Drosophila melanogaster: one gene and its partners. The protein of the gene in region 2 interacts with the protein of the main gene of each other region in a pairwise test. Each region holds a gene or a part of one and is shown on either strand. Other genes may lie near its edges. The genes, in order: Cdc6, FoxL1, CG11771 and dmrt99B.

What was found.
Region 1: the proteins of FoxL1 (region 2) and Cdc6 interact in a two-hybrid assay, tested with the Drosophila melanogaster proteins (one large-scale study listed by BioGRID).
Region 3: the proteins of FoxL1 (region 2) and CG11771 interact in a two-hybrid assay, tested with the Drosophila melanogaster proteins (one large-scale study listed by BioGRID).
Region 4: the proteins of FoxL1 (region 2) and dmrt99B interact in a two-hybrid assay, tested with the Drosophila melanogaster proteins (one large-scale study listed by BioGRID).

The regions. Positions count from the first base shown.
Region 1 is NT_037436.4:8,630,966-8,635,974, forward strand, and holds Cdc6 (cell division cycle 6), read right to left. Parts: upstream 3,105-5,009; 5' UTR 2,985-3,104; coding exon 1,415-2,984; intron 1,337-1,414; coding exon 918-1,336; 3' UTR 544-917; downstream 1-543. Other genes in the region: Zasp66 (Z band alternatively spliced PDZ-motif protein 66), read left to right, coding at 3,618-3,818, 4,037-4,116, 4,716-4,787.
Region 2 is NT_037436.4:4,017,147-4,021,781, reverse strand, and holds FoxL1 (forkhead box L1), read right to left. Parts: upstream 2,905-4,635; 5' UTR 2,689-2,904; coding exon 2,318-2,688; intron 1,386-2,317; coding exon 1,130-1,385; intron 1,074-1,129; coding exon 603-1,073; 3' UTR 503-602; downstream 1-502. Other genes in the region: Mul1 (mitochondrial E3 ubiquitin protein ligase 1), read right to left, coding at 1-78, 143-247. UniProt on the Drosophila melanogaster protein: Transcription factor. Coordinates the placement and migration of various organs during embryogenesis, including the salivary glands, hemocytes, germ cells and Malpighian tubules.
Region 3 is NT_033777.3:24,930,334-24,935,419, forward strand, and holds CG11771 (uncharacterized protein), read left to right. Parts: upstream 1-1,676; 5' UTR 1,677-1,799; coding exon 1,800-1,903; intron 1,904-1,960; coding exon 1,961-4,049; 3' UTR 4,050-4,586; downstream 4,587-5,086. Other genes in the region: Osbp (oxysterol binding protein), read right to left, coding at 5,066-5,086.
Region 4 is NT_033777.3:29,690,792-29,697,559, reverse strand, and holds dmrt99B (doublesex-Mab related 99B), read right to left. Parts: upstream 4,970-6,768; 5' UTR 4,754-4,969; coding exon 4,607-4,753; intron 4,523-4,606; coding exon 4,421-4,522; intron 4,135-4,420; coding exon 3,723-4,134; intron 2,008-3,722; coding exon 1,136-2,007; 3' UTR 535-1,135; downstream 1-534.

The DNA of each region.
Region 1 (5,009 bases), 4.6 Mb from region 2:
CTGTATGTTTTTCGAGGTTTTTCGCCTTACTGCTCCCTCAGAAATATATGTATTTTTGAGGAATAGGAATATAGAACGCCATATACCTATAGATACATTCATGCATATATCTAGCTGGCCTCTCTGCATATAGCTTATTATTCAAACATTTGTTCGCCTTTCGTCAATACGCGTCGAAAGGCAACCAGAGTTTTTGAAACATATTTTTCATTGCGCTCTGGTTGTGTCGGTGGTGCTCAATGTAATTCATACCACTCAAATGGGGATATTTTTAGAGCAGAGAGCGCAGGAAGAACAACAATAAGCCAGCAAATAAATAAACAAAATGATTATAGAACAAATTAATTTCATGTCGAGATGGCCAACAAAAGCCCACACAAATTCAGAAGCACTGGTGTTAATTTGACTGGTATGTTCTGAAAACGCCTCAGAAAACAATGGCAACAGACTTTCCCTAAGATTTTCACAACTTTTGGCACGACCCAAGATTCAAACTTGCGGCGCAGCGAAAGTGGAAAACGTTTTCACTTTTGCGTTTTATGTATTGCGGAACTATCTAGTTTATTCTTATTTGCTTAGGGCTAACAGGAAGGGGATTCTCTATAACTTATTGGTCAACGGATCGGATTAGAAATAGATTATGGGCGCAACATTTACTTAGATTTATGACACACACAAAGTCTAAAAGAATCGATTCAATTAATAGTCAGAAAATAGCAGAAAATGTCGAAAGTGACCGTCAAATGATATTTCAAAATATTTCAGTGCTTGCGCCAGCCACGAATTTTAAAATTAGCGTCAAAAAGTATTCCTATACATATACGTTCGTCCCCAAGGTGAATGAAAATGAGAAAAATGCGCAATTAACCAGCGGTTTGTCGGGCACACTCATTTCCTAGAGGTAATCGTCCAGATCGTCACTTGCTCAGGCAGGCGGTATCGCTGAGGATCGAGGCGATCAGCTGCTTGTCGCTCAGTGCCGCATGCACCTCCTCCTCGTCCCACTGCAGCAGAACCTTGTGCAGGCGCGGCTCCTTTTTGCGCATGATTCGCAGAATGCCTCGGGTCTCGACCAGATCCACAGTCCCAGTGAACTCCGCTTGGTCCAGGGCCAGGATGTTGCGTTTGGCGCACACTCTCCTGTAGACCTCGTGCAGGCGACCCATACTGATGTCTTTGTTGCGCTCGTTGCGCAGCATCAGCACCAGGGTGCACAGCATTAGCTTTTGCTGCAGCGGAAATGATGCCTCGATGTCCTCCTCCAGATTCTGTGAGGCACCGTAGACCTTGTTCAGCACTGCAGCCACTTGGGTGACCTGAACAGGCTTTAGAGTGTCTGAAATAGTCAAGATAGGATTTCTTTTTAACACATTCTATAAATTTATCTTTATATACTAAAGAAACGAAGGTTTACCTTGCTTTTCCTTGGCCTCCACCGCATCCTTGCCCTCCAGCTGCAGGGCCTTCATATTGAACTCCTTTTCGCCATCGCGCTTCTGCTGCTCTGCTATCTCGACCACTCGTCGTCCAATGTCCAGGGCCCTTCGCACATCTCCACTGATCGCACTCACCTTGGCGGCCAGCAGCTGCAGGGTCACGGGTGGAAAGACGTCCAGCACTTCCGCCTCAGCCAGACGCGACTTGAATATCTCCACGATCTGCTGCTTGGAGTAGGGCGGGAAGTGCATCAGTCTGGGCTTCAGCTCGCACCTTGCATTCAGTCGCATCAGCGCACGATCTGTGAGATCCAAACTATTGGCAATGCCCACGAGCAGTATCCTGGAGCCGGGAAGAGCTGGCCACTCGAAGATCGTGTACAACACCTCCTGCCTGCTGGTGCAGAGCTGATCAATCTCGTCCAGCACCAGCAGAAGCATTCGCTTTGCTGTCTTTAGGTGACGCTGAATGGCCTCCAAGTGATCTCTCTCTGTGCGACCGCTGACTTTGAGCTGCAGTTCGGTGCATAGTTTCTTGTAAACTGCTCCTACACTTGCTATGCTGGTGCAGTTAATGTACACACGTTGCAGACGCTTGGAGAAGTCGGGATCTCTCAGCAGTAGCGATAGGCAGGCGGTCTTGCCTGTTCCTGGCTGACCGGAGACATAGAGGCTGCCGGAAGTCTGGCTTTCCAGGTGATTGCTGAAGAATTCACGTAGCTCTTGGAGCTGGGACTCACGTCCTGGCAAGTTTTGTGTCTCGGCGCTGTTGAGCACTCGTCTGGCGTTTTGGTATTTGTTGCGTGAGGGAGATGGCAGGTTATTCTGTTGGGTTTCCTCATTGGTTTGGATATTGCTTTTTTCTTTAGTTTGGTTTTTATTCGGCTGCTTTGTTGGAGGTTTCTCCTGCTGCTTTTGCGCTAATGGATCCTCCTGCTGTTTTGGCCGAGGCTTTGCCTCGTCCTTGGCTTGATGTTTCGGCTGCTGCTCAGCCGTTTCAGTCTTGTGTGTGGTCGCCTCCACCTCTTCCTCCTGGCGCTCGTCGATGCTGAGTCTGTCCAGCAGCCGCGAAGGACTGATCAGGTGCTGTGGCAGTGGCTGCAACTTCCTCTGCTTCGGCGGCGATCCATGAAGCGGGTCCACCTCCGAATCCTGTTCGCCCTCCAAGAATCTAGCGGTGGCCTCACGGTTTTCCTCCTCACGTTTGGCCCGTGAACTGCCAGCTGATTGGACTGTTTTCTTTGTGCTGCGTGGCGTCTTTGGCAGCTCCGATTGAGCCACCTGCACTTGCGATGTCCTGCGCCTGGAGATCTTGTCCATTTTGTTGAGCACGTTGCGGTTCTCGTTGTTCTCTGAAACGGGGCTGGTCAGGTCATAGATCGCCGTCACCACCTCCTCCTCCTCGTCGCTATCGGCAAGCACTTTTTTCGGCTGCCTGCGTTTCCAAACTTCCGAGCGACGCGGCGTCTGCGTCGACGGCGGCAGCGGAGAGGCGGCGGTCGCTTTGCTGATGCTACTAAGGCGCGTGGAGCGGCGTACGGCAGCCATTCTTTAGCTTAGTTTATTGATCAGCAGTTAGTTACTATTAAATACGAGTTAAATAAGCCACAGCGTGCGTTACAATTTTCAGCTGGCAGTCACAGTTAAAAAAGCGCGCAAATTGAGTTTGCCATTCGCCACGAGCAACAGCTGATCAAGCCTGGTCTGGTCATCTGGCAGCTCTAGCCCAGAGCTGCCTATTGTCGATCGCCTATCGATTAGGCGCGCATAGTTACAACATTTCAAACAGCAGTCCGCCTATATTGAATTACTTACATACTCGCGTGTGGACGGCCTGGTAAAAATAAAATGGTCCGCGGCAGATAGAAAACACAAATCGCTGGACGTTGAACACGCTTACGTAAGCGCCTAAAAATATTTCCCCTGGCTATGGGATATTTTTAAAGTATATAAACGGGCGCACATAAAATGGAATTTAGATATAGCGAAAAAAATTATGCACACACACGCTCGAAGGAGAAATACGTAGCACAGTGGGCAAAGATCTGGTGATTTCTAGAAACTCTTTTAATCTCTGTCTGATTTATTTATATTATCATTTGCCGCAACGGCTGGTCGGCCAAATGTGTGCCCCATTTCGGCGTAAACAAAGTCGTTAATCTTCACCGATCCGCTTTCCAGCCCTACCGTACAACTCCGCTGGTCCTGCCCGGCGCCAAAGTGAAGAAGGATGCGCCCACGACAGAGTCCTACTTGAGGCACTACCCCAACCCGGCTGTGCGCGCCCACCCAGGACACGACTACCATGACAGTATCATGAAGCAGCGCGTGGCCGACACCATGCTGCACAAGGTGGTCGGTTCGGAAGCCGACACTGGCCGCGTAAGTACAGGGGACTTCTTAAAGTCACACCCACATAATGGAAAATTACAAAAACTAGAGTTTTCTACATTTAAAATTGATATTTTCAATGTTAACATTTCGAATTCGTGACCTGTAGTCTTTGTTCTAATCCTGTTACGAAATTGATTGTATTTAATTTAAGTGTAAGTTGTAATGGGTTTTACTTACATTTGTGTACATATATCCCCCGATTTTAGGTCTTCCACAAGCAATTCAACTCGCCCATTGGCCTGTACTCCAACAACAACATCGAGGACACCATCAGATCCACAGTTCCGTAAGTTGTCACCCAGAAATGTACCATCTGGAAACTCCTATGCTTAGCTCGATACAATGAAAAAAAAAAAACACTAATATATGAACTTTTGGAATTCGCTTGTCAAATTGAACTTATAAGCCTATGAATTACGCTACATATTCTTTGGATTTTGCAATTTACGAATAAACCTGCGTAGAGTTCTTCGAAATTTTTGATGCAGCTTTTCTTTTTGCCAGAGAGACAGAGAGAGCCACTCGAAATGCGCCAAGTAGCTTGAAAACTAATAAAACGAGTCACGAACACACGGTTACGAGTAGCCTAAGGTCCACATAACCCGAAAAATTGGTTCCTGGTTAAGCTGCGGCCATAATCCACTAACCCAAAAGCCACAAAATCAAAGTCGAAACGAAATTTACTAAACCGATGCACACACGAAATGAGAAACACACACAATTCGAACATACGATTGAACACGAAAACCAGTCCATAGATGTTGTACGTACTACTTACTACTGCCTACTGCCGGATCTCTGTTTTACATGCATTTATATACATTTACATATATAAATATACCACTCTCTATATATCCTATATATATTCTATGTATATTGTTGTAGCTTCGCCACAAGCGAAAGCAATCGCTTGAAGGACAGTCCTTTGCATCGTCCTTTGCCAACAAAACTTAACGGGTAAAAGTAAATTCATATCTTGAGCACAGCCTGATTTCGTTCTTTGATTGAATCCTTTCACTTTCACTTTCACTTTGATATGGAAAGCACAATGAGCAAGAACGTGGAATTGTACCTGAACTTGCCTTGAGACAAATTAAATTGAATATGAGGAATGTTTGCCAAGTTTCCCGTGTTTTCCCCTGCCTGTCTGTACAGACTAACCCTCGATTATTGTTGTCT
Region 2 (4,635 bases):
CGCATATGGTATCTTCTTGTCGCGCTGCCGCTCCACCACCGATTTTAGGTCTCCATCGATGTTGTATTGTGGTGCCGCCTGAAAAGCAGCAGTTCACTCAATAAACGCCACTTATTACGTGCATTAGTATTTCTATACGCACCTTCAGCACCTTGGCAGTTCGCTTGTAGTGCACGTACTCGCGCGCACACAGGCCAAGTATTAGCAGATCCACGCCCAGTGCAACGGATTCGTGTAAAAATTCCATTTTGTGTTATGCTATTTTATTTATATTACGCTACAAAAACATATGTTTACTCAGTGTTGCTGTGTTTCCCGCTGCTCGTAACGGCTACAAATACTAAATATTCACCCTGTTGAATGGAACTAGTTCAACGTATTAGTATATGCCATAGAGTGCAGGGTCACTCTAAAATACTACTTTCATATTTGAAATTTACCGCCAAAAAGAAGTTAGCTTAATTCAATTCAATTCTCAATTTGCAATTAGAAAACGGCCAATGCAAACCAATCTATATTTTAAAACTCCATCACTTTTATGTATTTTATGCAAGAATATTTATCACTAAATTAAGATAATTAAGCCAAAAGAGGTGCATTGCTTATGGCTTGCCAATGATATTGTCGATGGTAAACAGCGTGGTCTTTGATCGGTTGCTGCTGGCCACTGGACTGCTCCCAGGTGCATCCACCACATCCTTGATGCCATTAAAAGCTTCGGCAAGGACAGGTGCACCCGATGACGAGGTTTCCCGTCGATTGAGAGGAGGAGTAAAGGCGCTCGGCGAATGTAGCTCCTCGTGCAGTTCCATGGAACTTTGCATTGCTTTGCTGGAACTGGACGAGGCGTCCACATCGTCTGGGCATTCCCTGATCTCGGGCAGTGGTCGGAGTCCGCGGGCCTCGTTGTTGAACAGACTGTTGAAGCCCAGGGATACGGACAAGTACTGCCTGTGCAGATCCGTAATCCTGTCGGAGTAATTGGGCCGCTCGTTGCAGAAGATATCGAAGTCACTCAGCGGTTCGCTGGGCGAGCGAATCTCTGCTGCACTACTGTTGCCATCATTTGAATCCTGCAGATAAATTCATTTATTCGATTTGTTTATGAGTTTTTAGATGTGCATTATACCTTTCCCGATTCCCTCTCGTAGCGATTTGGATGGCCACAGTGCCTCTGCCTGCGCGTTCTCCTCCGGCGGTAGTTTCCCTGTTCGAACATGTCCGATGCCGATGAGTCCAGCATCCAGTAGCTTCCCTTCCCAGCACTGTCGTTATCCTCGATTGTGTTCTTGTCCCGCGGAATCTTCACGAAGCAGTCGTTGAGGGACAGATTGTGGCGAATGGAGTTCTGCCAGCCCTGCTTGTTCTCCCTGTAATATGGGAATCTAAAAAATAATTGGATATTATCCAATTAATTAATTAATTAGGAGCTATATTTCCTTGACATTTTTATCAAATTTTGAAAGGGTAAACATATATACTTTATTTTCAATAAATTAACAATGGAAAAGATATTTTATAAATATAAATCGAATGCGTGTTTATCAAAACTATTTACTTCAGAATTTCACAGCTTTGAATATCTGAATTTGTATATATAAAAATCATTTTACAATCTGAAAAACTTGCTGTTGATACACATCTTATTAGCCCATATCTATATCCTCCGCTGGTTTGTTTAAATCAAGCGATTTGAAAAAGCAATAAAAATAATATTTGTTTATGTTGATAAAGAAATCGGAAATATTTAGTTTACAAACACATTGTTCATTTTCCTGTTTTTCAAATTACTTGCGATCTATTTTATATATCTGGCCGCCATTTTTTATGCACTCTGTTCATTCAGGAAAGGAAATATATACATATATATTTTAATATTTGTTAAAGATATGACTAATAAATTTAAGCCAATAAATGAAACCATTTCATATGGATAATTACCAAGTAATCTGCGTGATATTTATATATTTTCACATTAAGAAATTGGATTAATGCTCCATATTTCACCGACTTAATCCCAGTTGTGGCAAAAGTTTCGTGATAAAAACTTCTTCTCGGGATAAAAACTTCTTTGGTTTGTACAGATACTTGGAATGTGGCGGTTGTTTATTTTGGCATTTGATTTAGCCAAGAATGTCATCTAAATTTTCCTCGATTTAAGACAAGGCGGAACATTTATTTTTGTAGGATTGTAAAAACAAGAGCTTTAGTAGAATATATGTACAGAAATTGGAAATTTTATTTGCTGATTTACAAACTAAATTCACTTATTGATCTATCAAAGATCTCGTATTTTTGTATTGTTCAATTAACTTACTTATCCATGATAAACTTGTAGATTCCACTGAGGGTCAGTCGCTGGTTGGGTGCACTGCTGATGGCCATGGCGATGAGGGCAATGTAGGAGAAAGGAGGCTTTTCCGGTCGATGGGAGTTGTGCAGAAAGGATATAGGCAATCCCCAGATGTTGTTGTGCAGGGCCAGAAAGCTATCGATGCCCTGGTAGTAGAAGGCCGGTGAAAACGATCCGCACATCAGACCCTCCATGCCCGCACCTCCGACGGCACTTGGAGCCAGCGGATTGGGTGACACCTGGGTCCTGAGATAATCCGGATTCGCTAGCATGGAGTTGACCAGCTCCTCATTATCCGGCAGCATCGATCCATTGGCATAGCAAGAGGGTAACATTTTTCAAAACGAAATCCCAGTAACTTGATTCAAAGTTCTTTTATACTCTTTATGTATCTTTCGGGAACTTTGTTTCGAATATCACTTCACATTAACTTGTTAGATATTTAGGATTTTTGTCCTGTTTTCCGGTTAGCTGTTACTTCCGATTTTGTGGGCGATTCGAGCGCGACTGTGGACCATGTGTTGCGTCAGCCAAGAAGTCCGATCGACTAATGAATGAACTCGGATACGCAGATCACTTGTAATGCCTCATCCCAATCTTATGGGTGTGTGTTTTTGGGGGAGAGCAGCGCATTGGTCTATAAATATAGGGATATGCAAACACCCTCACCAAAAGATCCACACATGCGTAAGTTCTCAGAGAGGGGAAAACAATTTTCCTTGAAAAATTTAAATTTTATTAAGGAAGAAATTGAATAAATTGAAATATGAAATAAGTATAATATATTTGAGATTATTATGTTATAATATAATAAGATGATGTTGTTAATATTTAAGTGTATTCAGTTATTAACTTTGTAGTACTAGATTTAGATTGATTATATCATTACTAATTAATATCCTTGCTTATACTATATCTTTTTCGCATATACCCGTTATATGGCAGATCTCTCTTTTGAGGGGGCGTTCCTACAAATATGTTCTCTACTCTTTCCATGTTTATTTATGTCCATTCTCATTTGCCTGTATTTTCCTCGATGGGCGGAGTCAAGACCTTTTCCCCATGTGTGAGTGAGTGTGGGAGAGTCCCAGTGTGTTTTGAATAATATGTAGATTTTGATTTTTCAACAAATGAAAATCGAGCAAAGTTTACACTTGAATTACGGGCACTTGAAAGGGAATTTTTAAATCTTTGGAAATAATGTAAAGCTTCTAGGATCTCATGCGTACATCGTTAGTCCCAGTTATTAAAAAAGATTATACTGCAGTATTATGATAGGTTACATATGTATGTATGTAATCATTGCGTGAGTTAGTCACTAATTTAGCCTTTTTCTGGCTTGAAAAAGTTCATTTAGATGTTTAATCATTTTATAACTTTCAAATCTCTTGATAGCACTCACTAAAGAGCTTTGATAACTCGTCAGTTCAATTGGTTTGTAAACATTATTTAAATAAAGCGATTCCAAGAAGCACTCCGTTTATACATTCCACCGGATAGCAGCTGGCAAGATAATGCCAGAAGTCGGCATTATCTGGTCCCTTGACATCCCATGCTATCTCGTGGCAGTTGCCTTCCGATTTTTACGACTTTTCCGAGCGAACGAAGGAAAGCGAGAGTAAACTCGCGGCAGTCAAGTACGCAATTTTCCGAATGCAACCGAAAGTCTTGGTCTATATCTTAAAAGGTCGTAAAACAATTGTGTATACATTTCAAACAGGACTACGCTCGATTTTTACGATCGTTCCGTTCTCAAGTAGAAAGCAGAGATCATTTGAAAGAAATAAAAACATTGAACGCAAATCGAAGAACTGAAAATCCAAAATGCCCGAAGCAATTGAAGTTCACATGTGTGGATGATGCCAATGCCACAAAGGATTCTTCACGCTCTCTCCCGATTTATTCAAATTTTACGATCGCTTACCGCTGGTGAGAATGGGTCATAAAACAATGGGTTATCCTATGGCCCATGGTCCTCCGATTCTCTCGAAGATGTCGCTGCCCTGCGTGTTTAGCTTGCTTATTTTTAGACCTATGCTGGGAATAGTATTGGAAACAAATATTGTTTTTTATGGCCCAGCTCGGTTTGGTCTGATTTCGTCTTCGAACACCGATCGATGTTTTTCGTTGTGAAACTATGTTTTCCTATGCATTTCACCGCATCTTTTTTGACATATCCCTCGCACTAAGCCATAAAACGCCTCGGATCCTGTTTATTTAGTCGCAGCGCAGCTCCCCAACCGCAACTTAATCGCTGTGTGTAATCGCGTAGTTATAGTTAT
Region 3 (5,086 bases), on a different chromosome or scaffold from region 2:
TTCTCCCTCCTTTAATAGCAGCCAATCTAGATCCTCAAGAACCCTTTGAATTCCGACCATGTGAACTAGCAAAGGTTATCAAAGAGCAACTGAACCCAAGAAAATCGCCTGGCTACGACCTAATAACTCCAAGAATGCTCATTGAACTCCCAAAGTGTGCTATTCTTCACATCTGCCTGTTGTTCAACGCAATCGCCAAGCTTGGATACTTCCCTCAAAAATGGAAAAAGTCGACCATAGTAATGATTCCAAAGCCAGGAAAAGATAAAACGCAGCCATCATCATATAGACCGATAAGCTTACTAACATGTCTTTCAAAGCTGTTTGAAAAAATGCTACTCCTTCGGATTAGCCCTCATCTTAGAATAAACAACACACTTCCAACACATCAATTTGGCTTTAGAGAAAAACATGGAACCATCGAACAGGTCAACCGAATCACGTCAGAAATTCGTACTGCTTTTGAACATCGAGAATACTGCACAGCCATTTTTCTAGACGTCGCGCAGGCATTTGACAGAGTGTGGCTCGATGGACTTTTGTTTAAAATAATCAAGCTGTTGCCCCAAAACACACATAAGCTACTGAAGTCATACCTATATAACAGAGTGTTTGCAATAAGATGCGATACAAGCACTTCACGCGATTGCGCAATCGAAGCTGGAGTGCCGCAAGGCAGTGTACTGGGTCCAATCTTATACACCCTGTATACGGCGGATTTCCCCATAGACTACAATCTAACAACCTCCACGTTCGCTGATGATACCGCGATACTCAGTCGCTCGAAATGCCCAATAAAAGCCACGGCACTCCTATCCCGACACTTAACATCTGTAGAACGATGGCTTGCCGACTGGAGAATTTCAATAAATGTTCAAAAATGCAAGCAGGTTACCTTTACCTTAAACAAACAAACATGCCCACCACTGGTCTTGAATAACATATGCATTCCACAAGCCGACGAGGTAACATATCTGGGAGTTCATCTGGACAGGCGGCTCACTTGGCGCAAACATATAGAAGCCAAATCGAAACATCTTAAACTTAAAGCAAGGAACCTCCACTGGCTCATAAATGCTCGCTCTCCACTTAGTCTGGAGTTCAAAGCTCTTCTATACAACTCCGTCTTAAAACCTATCTGGACTTATGGCTCCGAGCTGTGGGGCAACGCATCCAGAAGTAACATAGACATTATTCAGCGAGCACAGTCAAGAATTCTGAGAATTATCACTGGAGCGCCGTGGTACCTTCGGAACGAAAACATACACAGAGACCTAAAAATCAAATTAGTAATCGAAGTAATAGCTGAGAAAAAAACGAAGTATAACGAAAAGCTGACCACCCATACAAATCCCCTCGCAAGAAAACTAATCCGAGTATGCAGTCAAAGCCGGCTGCACCGCAACGACCTCCCAGCCCAGCAATAAACTTATTAGGGCATTAATGAAAAAAAAAAAACTATCACTAAGTGAAAGTTAATTAAGTTAGATTAAGATTTGAACACTTATTGTTAGTCTCTTAACACAAAGGGAAGATTCAATAAATAATAAAAATTAAAAAAAAAAAAAAAAAAAAAAAGAGAAGTCACAGATTAGGATAGATTGGATTCAGTGACTGCAGTAAAGTGTGATTTTCGCATCACTGCCGGCTCCACCGCTGATGGTGGCAACCCTGGCCGCTGTCACTTGCTTTTTGGTCCAGGCGTGTTGTGTAAACGCTGGCCCCCATTTCAGAATCCCAAATTCCGGCGCAAACTGTCCGGAATTGTACATATCTGGATTAACGACTTCACCTAGGACATGCTAAATCTCCTACGAAGGCGCCCAACGTCGGTGCCCCTCATCCGGGCCGCGCTTAGCGCTCCGCTGCACTCAACGGAAAACCGGCCGGGTTACATAGTGCTGTAAGTACGAAAATTACCCGGATTCAACATGTGGAGTCACTAAACCTATCCCCGCAGGGTACCGGAGATCGGTGAGGAGGGACCGCTAGGCGAGGGCGTGCTCAAGCCGGACGGACTTCCCGCCTTCAGTGACATCACCATCGAGATGTGCTTGGGCGCCATTGGTCAGCAGGCATCGGCGGTGGAGAACTCGGTGAAGGCGCTGGAGAGCGACCTGCACAGTGGCAAGCAGCTAAATGCCGCCAGCATCTTTCGGGAGCTGGACACCGTGACGGGTCCACTGGAGACGACATGGGGTGTGGCCAAGGCTCTGTACCTGGGCAATTCTACCCTGATACCCACCAAATCCTACATGAACATCCACGAACGAGCGCGTAACGCTCGGGCAGCGAAGTTCTGCAATCAAACGGTGTATAAGGCACTCAAGGATGCTTCGTCCGATTCGGGTCCAGATGAGCAGAGGATGCGACAGAAGTTCCTGCTCGAGGGCAAGCTGAACGGGCTCACGCTGGACAAAGATAAGCAGGATGGACTGAAAGAGCTGCTTACCCATTTGGGTCGAGAGAGAGCCAACTTCAAGAACAAGGTCAACATGGCAGTGCACTCGTTTGGACAGATTATTACGGACTTCAATCTTGTAAGAGATTTCCCGCCTTCGCTTCTTGAGGCAACAGCCCGCGATCCCGGACAACCTATGACGGGTCCTTGGAAGATAACCCTACAGCCTCAAGTGGTCGATGGTTTTCTAAAGCACTGCCCAGAGCGAATGCAGCGTTGGAACGTCTGGAGGGCCAGTGTGCTGAAGGCATCCTCGCAGCAGGAAAAATCCCTGGAGAACAGCACACACATCGAAAAAATACGCGGTTTGCGCAAGCGACAGGCAAATCTGTTGGGCTATGAAAGCTTTGCAGACATGTCCATGCAGACCAAAATGGTGGGCAGTGTGGACAACCTTAAGCAGATCTTTGCCAAGCTTCTCAAGTTCGCCGGCCCTGCTCAAAGTGTGGAGCTGGAGAAACTACAGGGCTTCGCTCAGGACAGTGGCTGTGAATACAAGCTGGAAGCCTACGACGTTGCCTACTGGCGGCGCAAGCAACTGGCGGCGGAGCACGGTCTCCAAGATCAGAAGCTCCGCGAGTTTTTCCCACTGCCCCGCGTTCTTTCCGGCTTGTTTGCGCTGAGTGAAAAGCTCTTCGGCATCAAAATAGTTGAGCAGCCCAATGCGGAGGTGTGGCATCCGGCAGTTAAGTTCTACGATGTGTTCGATGCTGATTCCGTCAATAGCTCCACCCCGGTGGGTGGCTTTTATGTGGACTGCTATTCCAAGGAGCACAAGTTCGGCAGAAACAATGGTTGGATGGTGGGCATACGGAACAGCAATAAGTCTGCCGGGCTGACGCCTCTCTGTGCGCTGATATTTAACTTTTCGGAGCCACAAAGTCCGGATGCCAAGCCCCCGCTTCTTGGATACGATGATCTGCAGATGCTCTTCAAGACTTTTGGAAGCGGACTCCAACACCTGCTCACCCAAGCGGGGTACAGCGATTTGGCGGGACTCTCAAACATCGAGTGGGATGCCTCTCAAGTGTCCGGTCATGTGATGAGCAACTTCCTCGACGATCCCACAGTGATTCGAAGCCTATCCGGACACTTTAGCAGCGGTGAGCCCTTGGAGGCTGAGCTTTCACAGAAGATGCGATTGCTGAAGACTCAGTTGGCTGGCTATAATCTGTGCCAGGACCTCTACCTGGCGGATCTCGACGTGGAGCTGCACCGCTCGAATGCCTTCTGGCTGGAGGTGGTTCGCAAGCTGTGGCCGGTTTATCAATGCATGCCGCTGGACAAGAAGGACGCACATCCGTGCTCCCTGACCGACATTTTTGCCGGAGATTGGGCGGCCGCCCAGTTCAGTCACTTGTATTCCCGCCTCATAGCCGCCGACATTTCGAGCAGCTTTGCTGAGCAGCGAAGCGAAGAGAACTACGCGGTCGTTGGCCGGCGCTACAAGCAGACCTTCCTCAGCTGCGGCGGATCTGTGCCCACGGCGGAAGTGTTCCGTCGCTTCCAGGGTCGCGACCCGTCGGCCGAGGCACTTCTAAAGTCGCTGGACATATTTGAACCCTCCCAGACCACAGATAACAACTGAGGGTCGCCCTCTGTTCCGCTAAAACGTTATCTATTGTGTGTAGTCAACAAATGCTGATCGATGGCAGCCTGTGGAGGCCCGACGAGTGGCAACCTTATAGGAAAGTAAGCATTGGAGTATTGGAAAATATTTTAAAATAGTTTTGAAATGTATTCTGTTAAATATTTGTTTATTGGTCAAGATCCCACTTGTACTTATTTAAAAGAAAGTATAGCCGTAATTGAATGACCCCAGCCAGGAAACTGAAAACCAAAAACGATTGATAAGGGCTTTATAAATTTTGGAAGTGTAACTATTAAAACAAGAATTCTATACTTTACGCCTCCACGATTTATTAGTCGGCAATTCGATCTACACCCTAATTGGCAGCCGGATGTGATAGCGATCGCGTGAGTCAGGCGGGATCTTATCGCAGGTGTGCAGGTGGTGTCGCCAGGCGACATCGTCAGTTACCCCAGTTGAACACACATACACACACACGTTGTTGCTTTATTTAAATAATACTTTAATAATAAATTGCATAAATTTATAACATTTAACATATTCTCTCGCTTCTTGCTCGGTTCTCTCGATTCGGTTCGATATATTTATATACACAACAAAGGCGAAGTATGCATTCAGCGGAAAGGAAAAAGACATCTAGGGGTTTGGATGGAAACCGAGGATTAAGAGCTATCATCTGTCTTGGCCTTCTGTTGGAAAGCCACTAGAAATGGTTAACCGGTAGTCAGGAAGAAATAATCAAAGTACATTTCGACGCAGGGGTATGGATTAAACTTGGTTAGTTTACAGGAATTAATTTATATATATATATATATATAAATATGCTCTAGATCAAAGTGTGGTACTACAATATGCGTATGTGCTGCTCCGAAATCAGTCGGAGCGTGTCCCGCTGTGGTGTGTTAGTTGTGTGTGGAGGCTGGATATCTGAAAACTTTAGAATATTCGCTAAGGCTGCTATGTGTGGTAGTGGCTGCAGTTGCTCCCTTGGCTGCTCCGTTGGCTACTGCTGTCTAGTATATGTCCGGACAGCC
Region 4 (6,768 bases), on a different chromosome or scaffold from region 2:
TCGATTTTCCGGGGTCTTGTGGCACTGCCCTCAAAATAGTGGCAAATAGATAATGATGATACGGATTAACGCTTCGCATTATTATTTGGCCATCGCGTGATGACCAGTTGGGAATTTTGAATTTCGAATCGTGGGTGGCCTCTATAATCGCAGTAGTTTCCTATTTGTATTTCAATTTCTTTGGGGTGCTTGTGGGCGGCCCATTGTTATCCGGTCGACTTCTCACGAATATACATTACGTGCTGTGAAAATTGTTTATTTACCCAGCTATGACCCGGACTAAGGGATTTCCGAACAATGGAAGTTTTGTATTAAATATCCTTATTTATTGATCTGATTAGTCAGGCATTTAGCGTAGGCCCAAACGATTTAATTGGAATGCATTATGCATTCATCAAAATAATTACACTATAATTGGGCTATTCAGCACATTCATCAGTACATTTGCAGACTGAAGATGTATCTTATCTATCTATCTATGCATGTAGGAAAAAAAAACACCAATATTCCCCGACAAAAAAATAGCATCGAATTAATTTCTTCATTATTTTATTGAATTATTTGTAGATTTATTAAATACTTTAACACAGTGTTTGAAATGTACTTTATCTAAGACATAATATGATGTTTAATATAATTATATATATGCTCATATTCATATGGTACACACGGATATCTCAATTAGTTGGTTGCAATCAACAATCGCTTACACAATAATCTCATCATCGTCATAATGTTAATTTCAGCTAAACAAATACTTCTTATAACTGGGATCGAGTGTATGGTTTTTCTTAAGTTTTAATTCATTAAACGTATTATTTACTTATACGGTCTCTATGTTACAATACTTGTGCTAAGAGTCGAGGGCAAATGTAATTTACACTTAGTTGCGGGACGTGCACTGCGAGAAACAGTTGCTCAAAAATCAAGAAAGTTCTTTCTGCAATGAAAAACTTCTATGGTTTCAGCTGACTGAAAATATTATAAAAACAAACGAGAGCTCTAAAACTCATTGAAGTTAAGAATTGTGTTCTTGACTCGTAAAGTGTTCACATTTTTCCGCAGTGTAGCAGGGGTGGGAACCTTATTCGAAAGGCCTGAAGACGGATGCGCCGCTGGCCTCCACCTCGATGCCTCAATCCTGGGAGTCGCCAGCATTGCTGGTGCGATCCAACCCTATGCCGCCCGCTCCGTTGGACTCGGATTGCTCGATATCCGCCGCACTGAGCACTCCCGGAAGGTAGCCGGTTCCGGCGTAGGGAGCAGTCAGGAATCGCTTGGCGTGCGCCTGCATGAAGGGATGGTAGCGATGGGTGGGGGAGCCGAAAACCGAGGGCGGCACCAGCGGGGAGAAGGCGGACTTCATGGGAAAGGGCGGCGATGGCGGCACCTGCGGCGGAGTCTGTCCCAAATCCTCGCCAGCCAGCATGCACTCCATGGCCTGGAGCACGTCGCCACGGAACCGCTGCATCAGCTGCTCCACATCGCTGCGCCGTCGGTTGGGGAACACCCTCATCAGGACGTCGATGGGCGATCTCTGCTGCTGTTGCTGCTGCTGCTGCTGTTGCTGGTGGTGCTGTGGCAGGTGGTTCTGCTGCTGCTGCTGCTGCTGTTGCTGCTGCTGGTGGTGCGGCGAGTGTGCCGCTGGGTGGTGGTGGGCGGGCAGGCCGGCGGCGGCCAGGAACTGCGTGTGGTGATATGGCAGGAAGCCCTGGGCATGACTGCTGCTGAAGGATCGCAGCAGATGAAGATTCTCGGCGGGCGTGTTGGGCGGCGACTGGCTGTCCTCCTTCTTGAGACTGAGATTCTCCGGCGTGGCCTCATCCGGCGCCGAATCCACGTCCAGATCCGATTCCGGCGAGCTGGGCGGTCCAGTGCGGGCGGGCGACAAGCTGGCGGTCAGATTGAACAGTCCGGCGACCTTGGGCCGGGGACTACTCGGCGATCCGGACTCGGAGCCCGTGTCCTGGTCGGTCTCGTTCGACAGGGCTGCTCCGCGCTTGGACACTGCAAGCAAGGAATACAATGAAGGTATATACAGATTAGTCGCCAGTTGATATGTAAATGCATTAAGAGTAGTATCTTGTAATAGTTCTCCTACGAGAGTGTGTACTTCCTATTGAGCAATTGTTTTTCCCAAAATCGCAGGTATCGATTTCCATCGACGAAGCGATTCAGGTAGCCAGTGGAAAACCGCACAGTTTCCACTTGGCAGCTTAGAGCAAATAAAAGTATCAAGTGTAGAGATGGGAAGGAATTTAATCAGGGGCATCGCAAACAAAGGCGGTGGAAGGAGCAGGGAGTTCAGGATGCGATGTTGACATGCCAACGAGGGACAACCTGCTGTTTTTTTCCACAAATGAAACAAGCTATATGATATTTTTGTGCGAGTCTGTTTAATTTTGCAGTTGACGAAGCCGCAGTAAAAATTTAATTAAGTCGAGGGTGCGTGGATACCAATACCCAACTCGAATGCCGCACTCTTTAGTCGAAAATAAAAATTCAAGCGTGAAATCGTCTTGGATTTCATGGCAAATAATAGAGTCCGGTACTTAAATAGACAGGTTTTCCCGATTGATTCGCGTGAGAATCCTGCTGTGTTTTTCTTTCTCGAGCTGGAAAAAACCACTTCCTCCGAAAGGGCAAACAAATAAAGACAAGTGAGCTGAGTCAGGGGGGGTATCTCACGTTTCTGGCCTGCCAGAACCCTTGGCATGGGGTTACCTTATGGGTAATAACCCCCATCTGCACAGCCGATAGTCCTAATAAGCAGGCGGGGTCGAAGGTCCTTTCAAATTCTCGACAGACTTGCAACTGTTTGGCGTTTAATGGGCCAGTGGTTTGAGTTGCGATGGCAGGGCAATCTGAGATGATCTGGTTGGAATTGATTGGCTTATTTCGGATAATAACAAATAATGTTGGATAATGTTACAATAACTTTTATTGTTCAGCTATTGAGAGGGTTTTTTTGTGGGAAAAAGAGTAAAATTCTAGCACACAAGTGTTTTGAGACGACCAGCATTTCAGAGTTTGCCATTTGATATTATATGATGTAATGGAACATTTTTGTCGGAAATTTCAAGTTATTTGCCTTTAAAACCTTCCCTGAAATGAGCACCACGTTAAATCAAGTGTTTTCCTCCTAACGAGGACTTTAACTCGATTGTTGCAATTTGCGCCCCTTGATGTCCTGGCCTGGCTGCAACCCCAGGACCTTTTCACGCGCCGCTTGGCAAAGTGCACGACTGCAGCTTGGCTGGCTAAGTCTTTGTCAAAACAACACCTATGCCCCGCTCACTAGCACCACTTCGCCACTTGCATACACGCAGCCAAATGCACATGCAACCGCGAGTGTGGCACTTTATGCACCGCTGATTTCTGAACAATCGAAAACAAATTTTTCTTAACGCGCTTTTAACCTGCCCTCCCCCAAGACTCTCAAGACCTCTTCTTGAGATGGCCAGGCGTGAATGGCTTCTTAAGCGGCTGCACTGCGCAAAATAAGTCAGTGTGTCCTTCGAAATGGAGTGTAATGGAAGTAATGCTATTTCATAAGCAGTAAACATTTGAAGAACTTCAAGGAAAACTGTTTTCTTGGTTTTAGAATAGATCTCAATTTATAAGATATGTGCTGTGATATTTGATGTTACTTCATTTCCCAAGTCACACAGTCACATATTCTCCCGGTGTTAGCTGTGTGCAGTATTCTTTACTTCACTCACCAGGACTCTCATCCAGCTCGGTTCTGGTGGGCGAGAAACCGACGCTGAGGTGCTCGGAACGGGTGCGTCCATCCGTGTCGGATTCATTGCCATTGAACCGCTGGGACTGCTGGTGTGGGTGGCTAAGGTGCTGTTGGTGGTGCGCCTGCTGCTGCTGCTGCGACTGCTGGTGATGATTGGGAGTGGAGCTGGCCTCGAAGCCGTCGCTGGGTGGCGAGGGAATCCCGCCGTGGAAGACGCCGTTCTGGCCCGATCCTCCGCTGCCCGAGCCGCCGCTGCCGCTGTGGTTGGGGCTGTGCGGAGTGGGCGTAGCACTGTCGCTGCCATTCTGCTGGCCAGGAACCGAAGTGTAGAGCAGGCCCAGCTCGCGGGCCTCGTTCTCTTCTTGGGCCTGTTGGCGTCGAAGGGCCACCTGCAACAAGGAGGGCATGGGCGGAAAGCGGATCTTTGATCAGTGGCGTGTAACAGGGAGATGCATTAATATTACTATGATTTTTAACTGAAGTCAACAGAGGAGTTTTGCAATTTTGAAGTAGTACTTGATTTCCATGCTATACTATAAAAAAAAACCTGCTTTTAAGCATACATAGGTTCTCTTTAACTGAACTATATAGATGAATTCAGCAATCTTCTTCATTCTATAACATTTATTCCAATTCTTTCCACGTAATTCCTTCTATATTAAAGTAGAAACCCACCTGAGCAGCCATAACCCTTTGGCGTTCCGCGATTAGAGTGCATTTGGCGCAGACGCAATCCCGCCAGCGGCAGTAGCGTTTGTGTCCCTTCAAGGCGCTGACCTGCAAAAGGTTCGAAATGGAAAGGGGATCCAGTGGGTAAAGAAAATCTCCAGATGCCGGATGGTATATGACCGAGGGACCTACCACTCCGTGGTTCCTGCAGCGGGCGCACTTGGGCGTCCTTTGGTAGCGTTCCGAGGCGGCTCGCAAGAAGAAAGCAGGTGGCAGTGCTCCCAAGACCGGATGCTGGGACATCAGATTCTGCATGTCCACACCCGACGGTAGACTCATTTCGACGTGAAGATCAGAAACCTCGATGTGGATTTAGTTGTTAGGTCAAAAACTTCTGAGCACACACTTCACTTTAGCTTATTTGATTAGTATTTAATTGTTTGTTGTTAGCTTGTAGTTTGATTGTTTTATTGTTTAACTATTTATATCCGCATAGTTCTCGAATTCAATCCACGCGCGCTAACGACATGACACAGTGAGCCCTCGATTGCAACTGATTCAACTTTTGGCCAAAAGGCCGCAGCGCACGACGCTCGACGTCGGACGTTCAGCAATGGCGGCAAGCGGCAACATTTACCAATACAAAAGCGGCTGACGAGGGTTGAAAGTGCGCGGATACGCTCGTGGGCATGTACATGCAAACTGGATATAGGGGATATATCCCCGATTCCGAGAGTGTTGCAACCACCTTTGTGCGCCGCAGCTGCCTGCGTCGGCGTCGCTGCCTGCGCCAACGGCGACGCCGGCTGCGACGGCGGAGGGTTGGCAATTAAGAAAAAAGTTTCAAATCTAATTTGGTACTGTATACAAAATTGTGCACTCGAGGCGGCGACGCGGCGTATGAGTAATGTGGCGGGAGAGCACTCCGCACTGGTTGGTTCTCAAAGGGAATTGCCATGGTAGTGGTGGTGGTGGTGGTGGTGGTGGTGCTTCGGTGGTGTGGTGCTGTTCTGGTGGTTGTTTGGGGTTTCTTTCATTTTCTTTGTTGCCTTTGTTTCACAATTATTTTTTATGCCGCTCTTCAGCTGCTCAACTGCTCAGCGGCTTGCTGTGTGCGTGAGCGCTTGGGGCTCTCGGCTTTTGGGCTAATGGAATAGCCAACCAAAAGCGTTGTTGTTGCGACCTCGCCGCTGGTTGGCATGGCCAACACACACACACACACATACAAACACACTCAACTGACACAGTTGGCAGCGCAGTTGTTGCTTTTCGAGGGGTTTTGGGGGGATATCTAAAATTCCCAGGCCCCTGTTTTTGAAAAACTAAAGTTTCTACCTTAGGTTGTGGCACATCGCCACTTGCTTTTCATTTCCAGCTGCCGCTGTTCAAATGTCTCAAGTGTTGAAATCTCCATGAACAAAATTGACAAACAGAGGCATAATAATTACTTATTTACAGCTGCATAAAAGTATAGACATGAGATGATATGTTAAACAAGAAACAAACCATAAAGATAGGTATTTAACAGAAAATCATAACGTATATTAACTTTTATAGCGTTTAAAAGGATATACAATGTGATATCAATTTGCTACTTTAATCTATTTAAAAGAACAAAACCCATTTTACATAAAGAGTCCTTTACATAATGTGCCGCATATCCCGCTGCGTCGGAATGAGAGTTTTCGTTAGGTAATTTTTAACTTTTTTTTGGCCAGTGGGTTGGGTCTATTGGCCTATTGGAATGTTACAAAATAATTGCAATTGAAACAAACTGAGCACTCGTGCTGAGCGAGCGAGACAGCCGCGTCTGCGAAAGAGGCAGCTGCGCGCGCCTCTCTCTCTCTCTCTCTGACGTTCTTCGTTTCTCCGAGAGATGTTCGCTCTCTCGCGCGGAGACTCCGCCCACGAAAAGAGGAGGAGCCATAGGACTCACGCACACGCTGTAGAAATAGAAGAACATAAAGCGGCAACAATGTTGTACAAGTTGACCAAAAGAAACAAGTTTCCAGTCTGTCTGTGTCGGTGTTTGCGCGCGTGTGCTTGTGTGCGAGTTGCCTAAGGACCTCTACACACACACACACGCACACACACACTGGGAAATAGGGGGCAGTTCCAGTTCCGCTGGCATCGTCTTTTTGGGCAGGTCACAGTTGTTGGCAACAGTAAATGGCCAGAAGCTGCTGCTGCTGCTGTTACCGTGGAGCTACTGGTGTTTTGCGCAGGGCCAATTTCTCGCATTTTAACTTTGTTTAAAGTGCGCCTATGTACACACACTCACATCTACACACAAACACACGCAGGCTGCTGCCCTGGGTGGCCACTTATAAAGTGTTTTTACTGCGACCAAATAT